2 linked regions of the Schizosaccharomyces pombe genome follow. The gene in region 2 interacts genetically with the main gene of each other region. Each region holds a gene or a part of one and is shown on either strand. Other genes may lie near its edges.

The links. Genes that interact genetically often act in the same process or in processes that back each other up.
Region 1: mutations in rtn1 (region 2) and cwf5 together harm fitness more than expected from each alone (negative genetic interaction), as found in Schizosaccharomyces pombe (one large-scale study listed by BioGRID).

What each region holds. Positions count from the first base shown.
Region 1 is NC_003421.2:1,185,831-1,189,534, reverse strand, and holds cwf5 (Prp19 complex subunit, RNA-binding Cwf5), read left to right. Parts: upstream 1-1,912; 5' UTR 1,913-1,966; coding exon 1,967-2,242; intron 2,243-2,293; coding exon 2,294-2,650; intron 2,651-2,710; coding exon 2,711-3,142; downstream 3,143-3,704. Other genes in the region: Ski complex RNA helicase Ski2, read left to right, coding at 1-1,800; coa4 (respiratory chain complex assembly protein), read left to right, coding at 3,368-3,517, 3,564-3,647.
Region 2 is NC_003423.3:1,261,767-1,265,472, reverse strand, and holds rtn1 (reticulon Rtn1), read left to right. Parts: upstream 1-1,868; coding exon 1,869-2,795; 3' UTR 2,796-3,175; downstream 3,176-3,706. Other genes in the region: protein dbl7, read left to right, coding at 3,633-3,706. UniProt on the Schizosaccharomyces pombe protein: Required for the correct positioning of the cellular division plane by delimiting the actomyosin ring assembly at the cell equator. Overexpression causes cell lysis.

The DNA.
Region 1 (3,704 bases), on a different chromosome or scaffold from region 2:
GGTTTAGCCGTTCATCATGGCGGACTGTTACCCATCATCAAGGAAATAGTAGAAATCCTTTTTCAAAGAGGGTTGGTGAAGGTTCTGTTTGCTACTGAGACCTTTGCAATGGGTGTAAATATGCCTGCAAAATCGGTGGTTTTTTCCGGTACACAAAAGCATGATGGACGGAACTTCCGTGATCTTCTTCCCGGAGAGTATACACAATGCTCTGGACGCGCTGGACGCCGTGGTCTTGATGTCACTGGTACAGTTATTATATTATCGCGTTCAGAACTTCCTGACACAGCTTCGTTGAGACACATGATTATGGGGCCTTCGTCTAAGCTTATAAGTCAATTTCGCTTAACATATAATATGATACTTAACCTCCTACGTGTAGAGACGCTTAGAATTGAAGACATGATTAAACGCAGCTTTAGTGAAAACGTTAACCAAACATTGGTGCCTCAGCACGAGGAAAAAATAAAAAGCTTTGAAGAAAAGTTGTCGGCTTTAAAGAAGGAAATGTCTGATGTTGATTTGAAAGAAATTAAAAGTTGTTTATTGAGCAGTGAATCTTTTAAAGAGTATACCAAAAAAATGCACTTCCGAGCAATAACTACTGCAAATGGCAAAAGAATATTTAAAGATGGAAGAGTCATTGTTTTTCAACAACTTGATTTTACTCGCACTGTTGGAGTTCTACTCGGAACATCCATTAGAACCAATGCTTCAGACTGTACACTGGAAGTTGCATATTTAAATCCACAGAACAACCTCAAACGACCATCGGATTTACTTGCTTTTGCTGACGCGTTCAATGATGTTTATGATAACGCTATCTTTGATGAATCAAACCAATTCAAGTATGGCCTTATCAATCTTTCCGGTATTGAAAGAGTCTGCAATACGATCCTTCGAATTGATTCTGGTGGAATTAGAGACCGTCGAGGGGGGGCTTTTCGAAAACTTAGTGAACAATTTGCATCAATTAAAAAGTTTTCCGACCTGCTTTTTGAAGAAGTTAATTGGAGTAAAGTCAGAGACTTTGAATTTTGTGAAGCTTTCGAAAAACGAAATTTTCTTCAGAACAAGTTATCCGGAAATCCAATTATCTCGACTCCAAACTTTCTTACTCATTTCGCCTTAGCTTACCAAGAGTATGAATTGGAAAGCAATATCGATAACTTATCTTCCTATATTTCCGATCAAAACCTAGAGTTACTGCCTGATTACGAACAACGGATAAAAGTATTGCAAGAACTAGGATATATTGACGCAGAGCGAACTGTTTTACTAAAGGGAAGAGTCGCATGTGAAATTAATTCCACCAGTGAATTGGTATTAACAGAGTTGATTTTGGAAAACAGTTTGGCGGACTTTTCTTGTGAAGAGACAATAGCATTGTTGTCTGCATTTGTTTTCGATGAGAAAACGGAGGTTGAACCCACAATTTCTCCTCATTTACAAAAAGGAAAGGAAATGATACTATCAGTGGCCGAGAAAGTTAATCAAATTCAAGAGCACTATCAGGTATTGTATTTTAATGAAGGTAATGATTTTGAATCACAACCACGATTTGGTTTAATGGAGGTTTGCTACGAGTGGGCTAGAGGGATGTCTTTCAACCGTATCACAGACTTAACAGACGTTTTAGAAGGATCGATTGTAAGAACAATTATAAGACTTGATGAAGTTCTACGTGAATGCAGAGGAGCAGCCCGTGTCGTCGGCGATTCTTCCATGTATACGAAGATGGAAGAGTGTCAAAATCTAATTCGCAGAAACATAGTCTTCTGCCCTTCACTGTATATGTGAATTTAATAGTTATATATATTTGTAGATTTAAATGATATTCATATGAAATTTTATGTGTTTTTCACGAATTTTATTTGTCTTAAAAGTCTTCGTATTCCACCTTGCAAAGTTTAACACCACCACATATTTACAAAGATTAGCATTGCAAGAGAATTGCGTTTCTAATATGTCTCATGGACCAAAAGGTGATATAAATAAACAAGAATGGGAGGATGTTGAATTTCCAAGCATCTGTGAACGTTGTTTGGGCGACAATTCATATGTTCGTATGACTAAGGAGCCACTTGGACAAGAATGTAAAATTTGCTCAAAACCTTGTACAATCTTTCGGTGGATAAAAGAACGCGGCCAAAAGCCTGGAAAAACTCAAATTTGTGTTGGTTGCGCCAGATATAAGAACTGCTGTCAGAGTTGCATGCTTGATTTGCAATTTGGTTTACCGGTAAGTTCAATATTTCATTCAACTATAATAGTCAGCTAACGTTCCATGAAGATTGCCCTGAGGGATGCAGCCCTAAAACTGGTCGAAAGCGGTCCCACTAACGATATTAATCGCGAATTCTTTGCTCAAAATCAACAACGCCTGTTAAGTAATGGCGAAACGGCCTACGATAGCCAGGAAGCAAGCGCCGCTGCAAGAAATCTTGTTAAAAAGGTAGAAAAACGAGAATTACATTCAAGACCTCCTAAGCGAAAATTAGATGATGTTGAGTCTAAGCAAATATTAAAGGAGGCTCGAGCATCTGATGCATCTTTAAATGCAGAACGCCCATTATTTCCGGTTAAAAAAATTATTAATGGGAATGTTTCCTTGTCTATTAATATGGAACCTCCTAAAGATAAAAAAATCGTAAGTGCGACTTAAAAGTAATTTAAGCTTGATGGCGCATTGTATTGTGCTAACATTTAGGCATCCCTTTTCCTTATTGGCGTCGAAGATGAACTAGCTGACTATAAAATTCGTAAACATTTTGAACAATATGGGCCTCTTAAATCAGTTGTGTGTTCTCATCGAGCAAAATGCGCATTCGTAAACTTTAAAACTCGTTCTAGTGCTGAGATTGCGGCGGCGGCATCTCCCGATGGAAATGTTGTTATAGAGGGGTTTCGACTGAAAGTTCAATGGGGAAAACCTCGTTCTCTTGGAGGACCTGAGGGTGAAGTACGAAACGCAAAGTTGGCAGACCTTGTGATGCGAGGTTCATCCCATGGAAATAAAACCTCCCAAAAATCTACGATTAAAAACATTGAAAATGAAGATCATGAAAATACTAAAAGCCCTGCAGTTGCTATACCCATTGACCCCAATCAACCCCGTTACCGATCTCAAATTCCGCGGTGAAGTCAGTTGGTCATTTAAAACCTTTGTAGTAGCTATTAACTTATTTTCTCTAATACTGACAAGCTTTATTCTGTATTTTCTTGTTTATTTGTCTTTGCACCTTTTCTGTCGTCTCTCGGTCATTCTCCTTAAATAATCAAATATCTGCTGCTTTACCTTACTCAGCAAAACACTTTGGGTTTTGCATATTTTTTACATTATAAAGCATCAATTTATTTTTTCTGAATGGATAGTATTGAAAAAACTCCTGACGGAGAAGAAGAGGAAAAAGATGTATGGGACACTGCTCTTGAAAAAGGTGGATGTGTAGAAGAGCACCTTCGACTGAATGATTGCTATTGGGATACTCATGATTGGAGGAAATGTACAGAACAGGTAATTATATGTCTTTAAAAAATTTAGCTAATTCTGATATTTTTAGATGGAAGAATTCAGGAAATGTTGGGAAAAGAGACATGGTCCTTTGCCAAGTATCTCAGACAAAAAAAATAAAAATTTATCTTAATGAGTTTCTATATCATGTGATTTTGTGAAAAAAATAATTATTCTGTTTACGGCAGTT
Region 2 (3,706 bases):
GCAGAGTGCAGTAAAGGATTTGCTAAAGGAGAGAAGAACCCGACCGTTTCAGTAGAGTAGAGTAGAGAGGAAAGAGGAAAGGATGATACATCATTACTTTGAATACGATACAACACAATTCTTTCAGTACAATGTAATTCACTTCTATGCAATGCAGTCCACTTCTATGCAATTCAGTCCAGCGCAATGCAATTCCATACATTTCATTTCAATTCATAATTTCATATACTAGCATACGATGAGATGTCCAATTTATTAAATACGTTTTCTCTTTCTCCCTCCCTTTTCACGAAAAGGCAAGAAAAGCCTTCTTGTTCATCATACGGTATGCTTGCAATTTTTAAGTGGGTGTAAATAAACAGACACACAACGCATAATGAGATGATGAAGAATTTCAATACAAACTGATTTGTACAAAAAAAATTAAATTATAAAAAGAAAATCTATTCAATTCAATTCAATTCGTGAAAAAATAAAAAAAATAAAAAATTCGAAATAAAATTACATTAAATTAATTAACGTAAACTGAAATAAATCAATTACTAAATGTAGAAAAGGTATGGTCTTATTTATTTCATCATATATATATATATATTTTTTTTTGAAATACATTTGCTTTGATTCTTAAGAAATAAATTTTTTGTCAAAAAAATTTCCAAAAAAAAAAAAAAAAAAAAAAAAGGCTTCAGAAGTTTGAATGAATTTTGTTTCTTCAAAGTTTTAATTGATTTCAATTCCTCAAATATTAAATAATTTTTTAAACAACAAATTTCTTCGTGTTTTACTCACTTGTGGATGATTCATCATTTCTCACCGTTACTATTCCTTTCCTTTTTCAATCTTTAATCCTTTCTTTATTCAGTTGTATCCTTTTCCTTTTCATCACTCTTATCCCTTTCTCCTTTACATTTTACAATCAAACTCCATACTTCGCTCTCCTTTCAACAAACTATCCTACACGAATTTATTTATCTATTTCTCACTTTTTTTTCGCCTCTTGTAGCCTTTCCTGCACTTAATCATTGTTTTCCCTTTATTTACTCTTTTTTCAATATCTCTAGCTTTTGCAAAAGTCATCCGTTTTCGCTCGTTCTTTCGTTTTTCATCCATTTTCATTGTTTCTCTATTCATTTCCTTCTTTTTCATACCATTTCACCCATCTTTTCATACCATTTAACCCATCTTTTCCCGCCCATCTTCTTCCTATTCTTCGTTTTTCTTTTACCATCCAAAATTCTCTTTCATTAGCCTGCTGTAAACCGATTATAAGCATGATCGCTATAGTCGCCGCTGACACAGACTTATTGAGCCAAGAACAACGTCATTCCATGATCAACGCTATGACTGCTATCTAACCACCAACCACCGACTTGACTTTTACCATATAAAAGCAAAGCTTTCCAACTAACAACTTTCTAACAGTTTCGTAAGTGAAACATATTGACTTTCCTCTCAACAACTCGTGAAGGTCTCTTTTTGTATTTACCCATTCTACTTTTATTTTTTCTTTCGATCAATATCTCCCTTAAAAGTTAACCCTTTTGGAACTTGGCTTTGGATTTAATACATATACATTTTATTTATCCTACAGCAAAATCCAAAAATCTTTTATTCACTTTTTTAAGTCTTTGTTACAAAGTATTTCGCTCTTCCGAAAAGTCGTCCTTTACTAGCTATTTTCTTTAGTCGGCACTTTTCAGAATTAGTTTTCTTTAAATTTTCTCTATTTTTTACTATATCTTAAAAAAAAAACACTTGCACCCTTTTTTAGTTTAAAAGGTTTCTCTTTTTTTTTAAGGCTTCTTTTGATTCTTAGTAACTGTTTTACCTTAAGTTGTTATTTTAAAATTGAATATAACACGCAAATCATGTCTGAACAACATTCATTAAACCCCTTTGAATCCGGTTCCGTCACTGCTTCCGATGTCGCCGCTGCTAAATCCGGTGCTGAGGACCTTGTAAATACTTTGACTGCTCACACCGTTCACCCTTCCACCGAATTGCCCTCTGCCACTTCATTTCCCTCTGCTCTCCCCAACTCTGAGAATCCCGTTATTCAAAACATCTCTTCTTCCTCTTCCGAGCCCCACCACACCTCTCAATCCACACCTGGCGAGACAAGCAGTCCCGTCTGCCCAGTTTCCGGCGCTCACGGAGGTGCCGACAAAAAATGCCCTGCTTTGGAGGCCGGTTGCCCTTTTACCAACACTACTAAGCAAAACGTCGATCCTGAGATCTCTAATGCTTTGTGGTCTGTGTTGACTTGGAAGAACACCTCTTGCAGTTTCTCTACCTTGATGAGTATTCTTGCTCTCGTTTATGTCCCTTCTTGGATCAATCTTCCTCGCCTCTTTTTCAGAACTTTCCGTTATGTCTTTTTGATTACCTCCATCATTGAATTCGGTGGTCTTTTCGCTTCCAACGGTAAGCGTGGTGTCTTGTCTCACTTCCGTTCCTCCTACATCACCTGCGACTCCAAGGCTCTTGATAGGATTGTCAACTCAATTGTCGACATTTTCAACGTTATGTTGATTCAATTCCAACGTATCTTGTTTGCTGAGAGCCCTATTTTGACCTTTACTGCCTCTGTTGCTGCTTTTATTGAGTTTTTCCTTAGTGGCTTCCTTTCCTACAAGTCTCTCTTTGTTTGGAATGTTTTGTTTGCCTTCATCCTTCCCAGATTGTATGTATGCAATGAGCGCTCTATCAAGCATTTGGTTGCTTCCCTTGAGAGATCTGGTGATAAACTTAAAAAGCAAGCTACTGAGACTATAAACACCACTGTTAACAAGTAAACCTCTGCGGGATAATTTGTTTGATTGTTTCTGTCAGGTTGCGCTTGATTTTTATTTGGTTCGCTTCCTCGTTTATTTTAAGGTTTCAATAGTATCTTTTGCAAAAAAATGCAAGGGTAATAACCATGGTTTTGTTTTCAACTTTGAAAATGTGTTGCTGTGTTGTGTTGCGTTTCAAAAGTGTTGTATTATGACTTGAATTAGGAGATTGAATGCGTTTTCTCAATTATTTTGCTTATGACTATGAGTGTTTATTTTCATAAATACGTCTTTCTCATCTCGATATATTGTAAATGTAACAGGTTCGGCTCAATCTCTCATTTCTCTTCTGAGTTGCAAACTATTGCAGTGTGGTTGAAGTTCTTGTTGCTTTGCTCAATATGATGCTATTTTATTATATTTTCTCTGCTTCGTTTAATACCCAACGTACTTATTATTCGTAATTTAATCTCGTAATTACTCCGTGTTGTTTTGTAGGTCCTCCTCGTATTCCTTATTGCTGCTCTTTTCGAAAAAAAAAATATATATATATATTTTCCATAACTAAAATGGGTCTGTGGACGAAAAAATCTATTTTGTTTAACCAAATGACTAAAGTATTTGTTAACCAAAAATTATTATTTTTTTTCCACTACTTCGTATTTAATACAGCCGATCATACAGTAAAGTGCTGATTACACTCGCATGATCGTTGTCTGCTCTCACCACAAGTCATTCACTTATATCAATGTTGTGCCAGCTTTTTACGTTTAAGCTCAAAATTTCCTTTGTATCCATATATTAGGATTATTGAAATTCAATTTATTGTCAATTTATCATGCCGCAACGCTATTATACATGAGTTCCAAGAAAGTCAAATACAATCCTCGAAAAAGCGCATCTCAAAATGAAGCTACCTCAGCTTCAGCAGG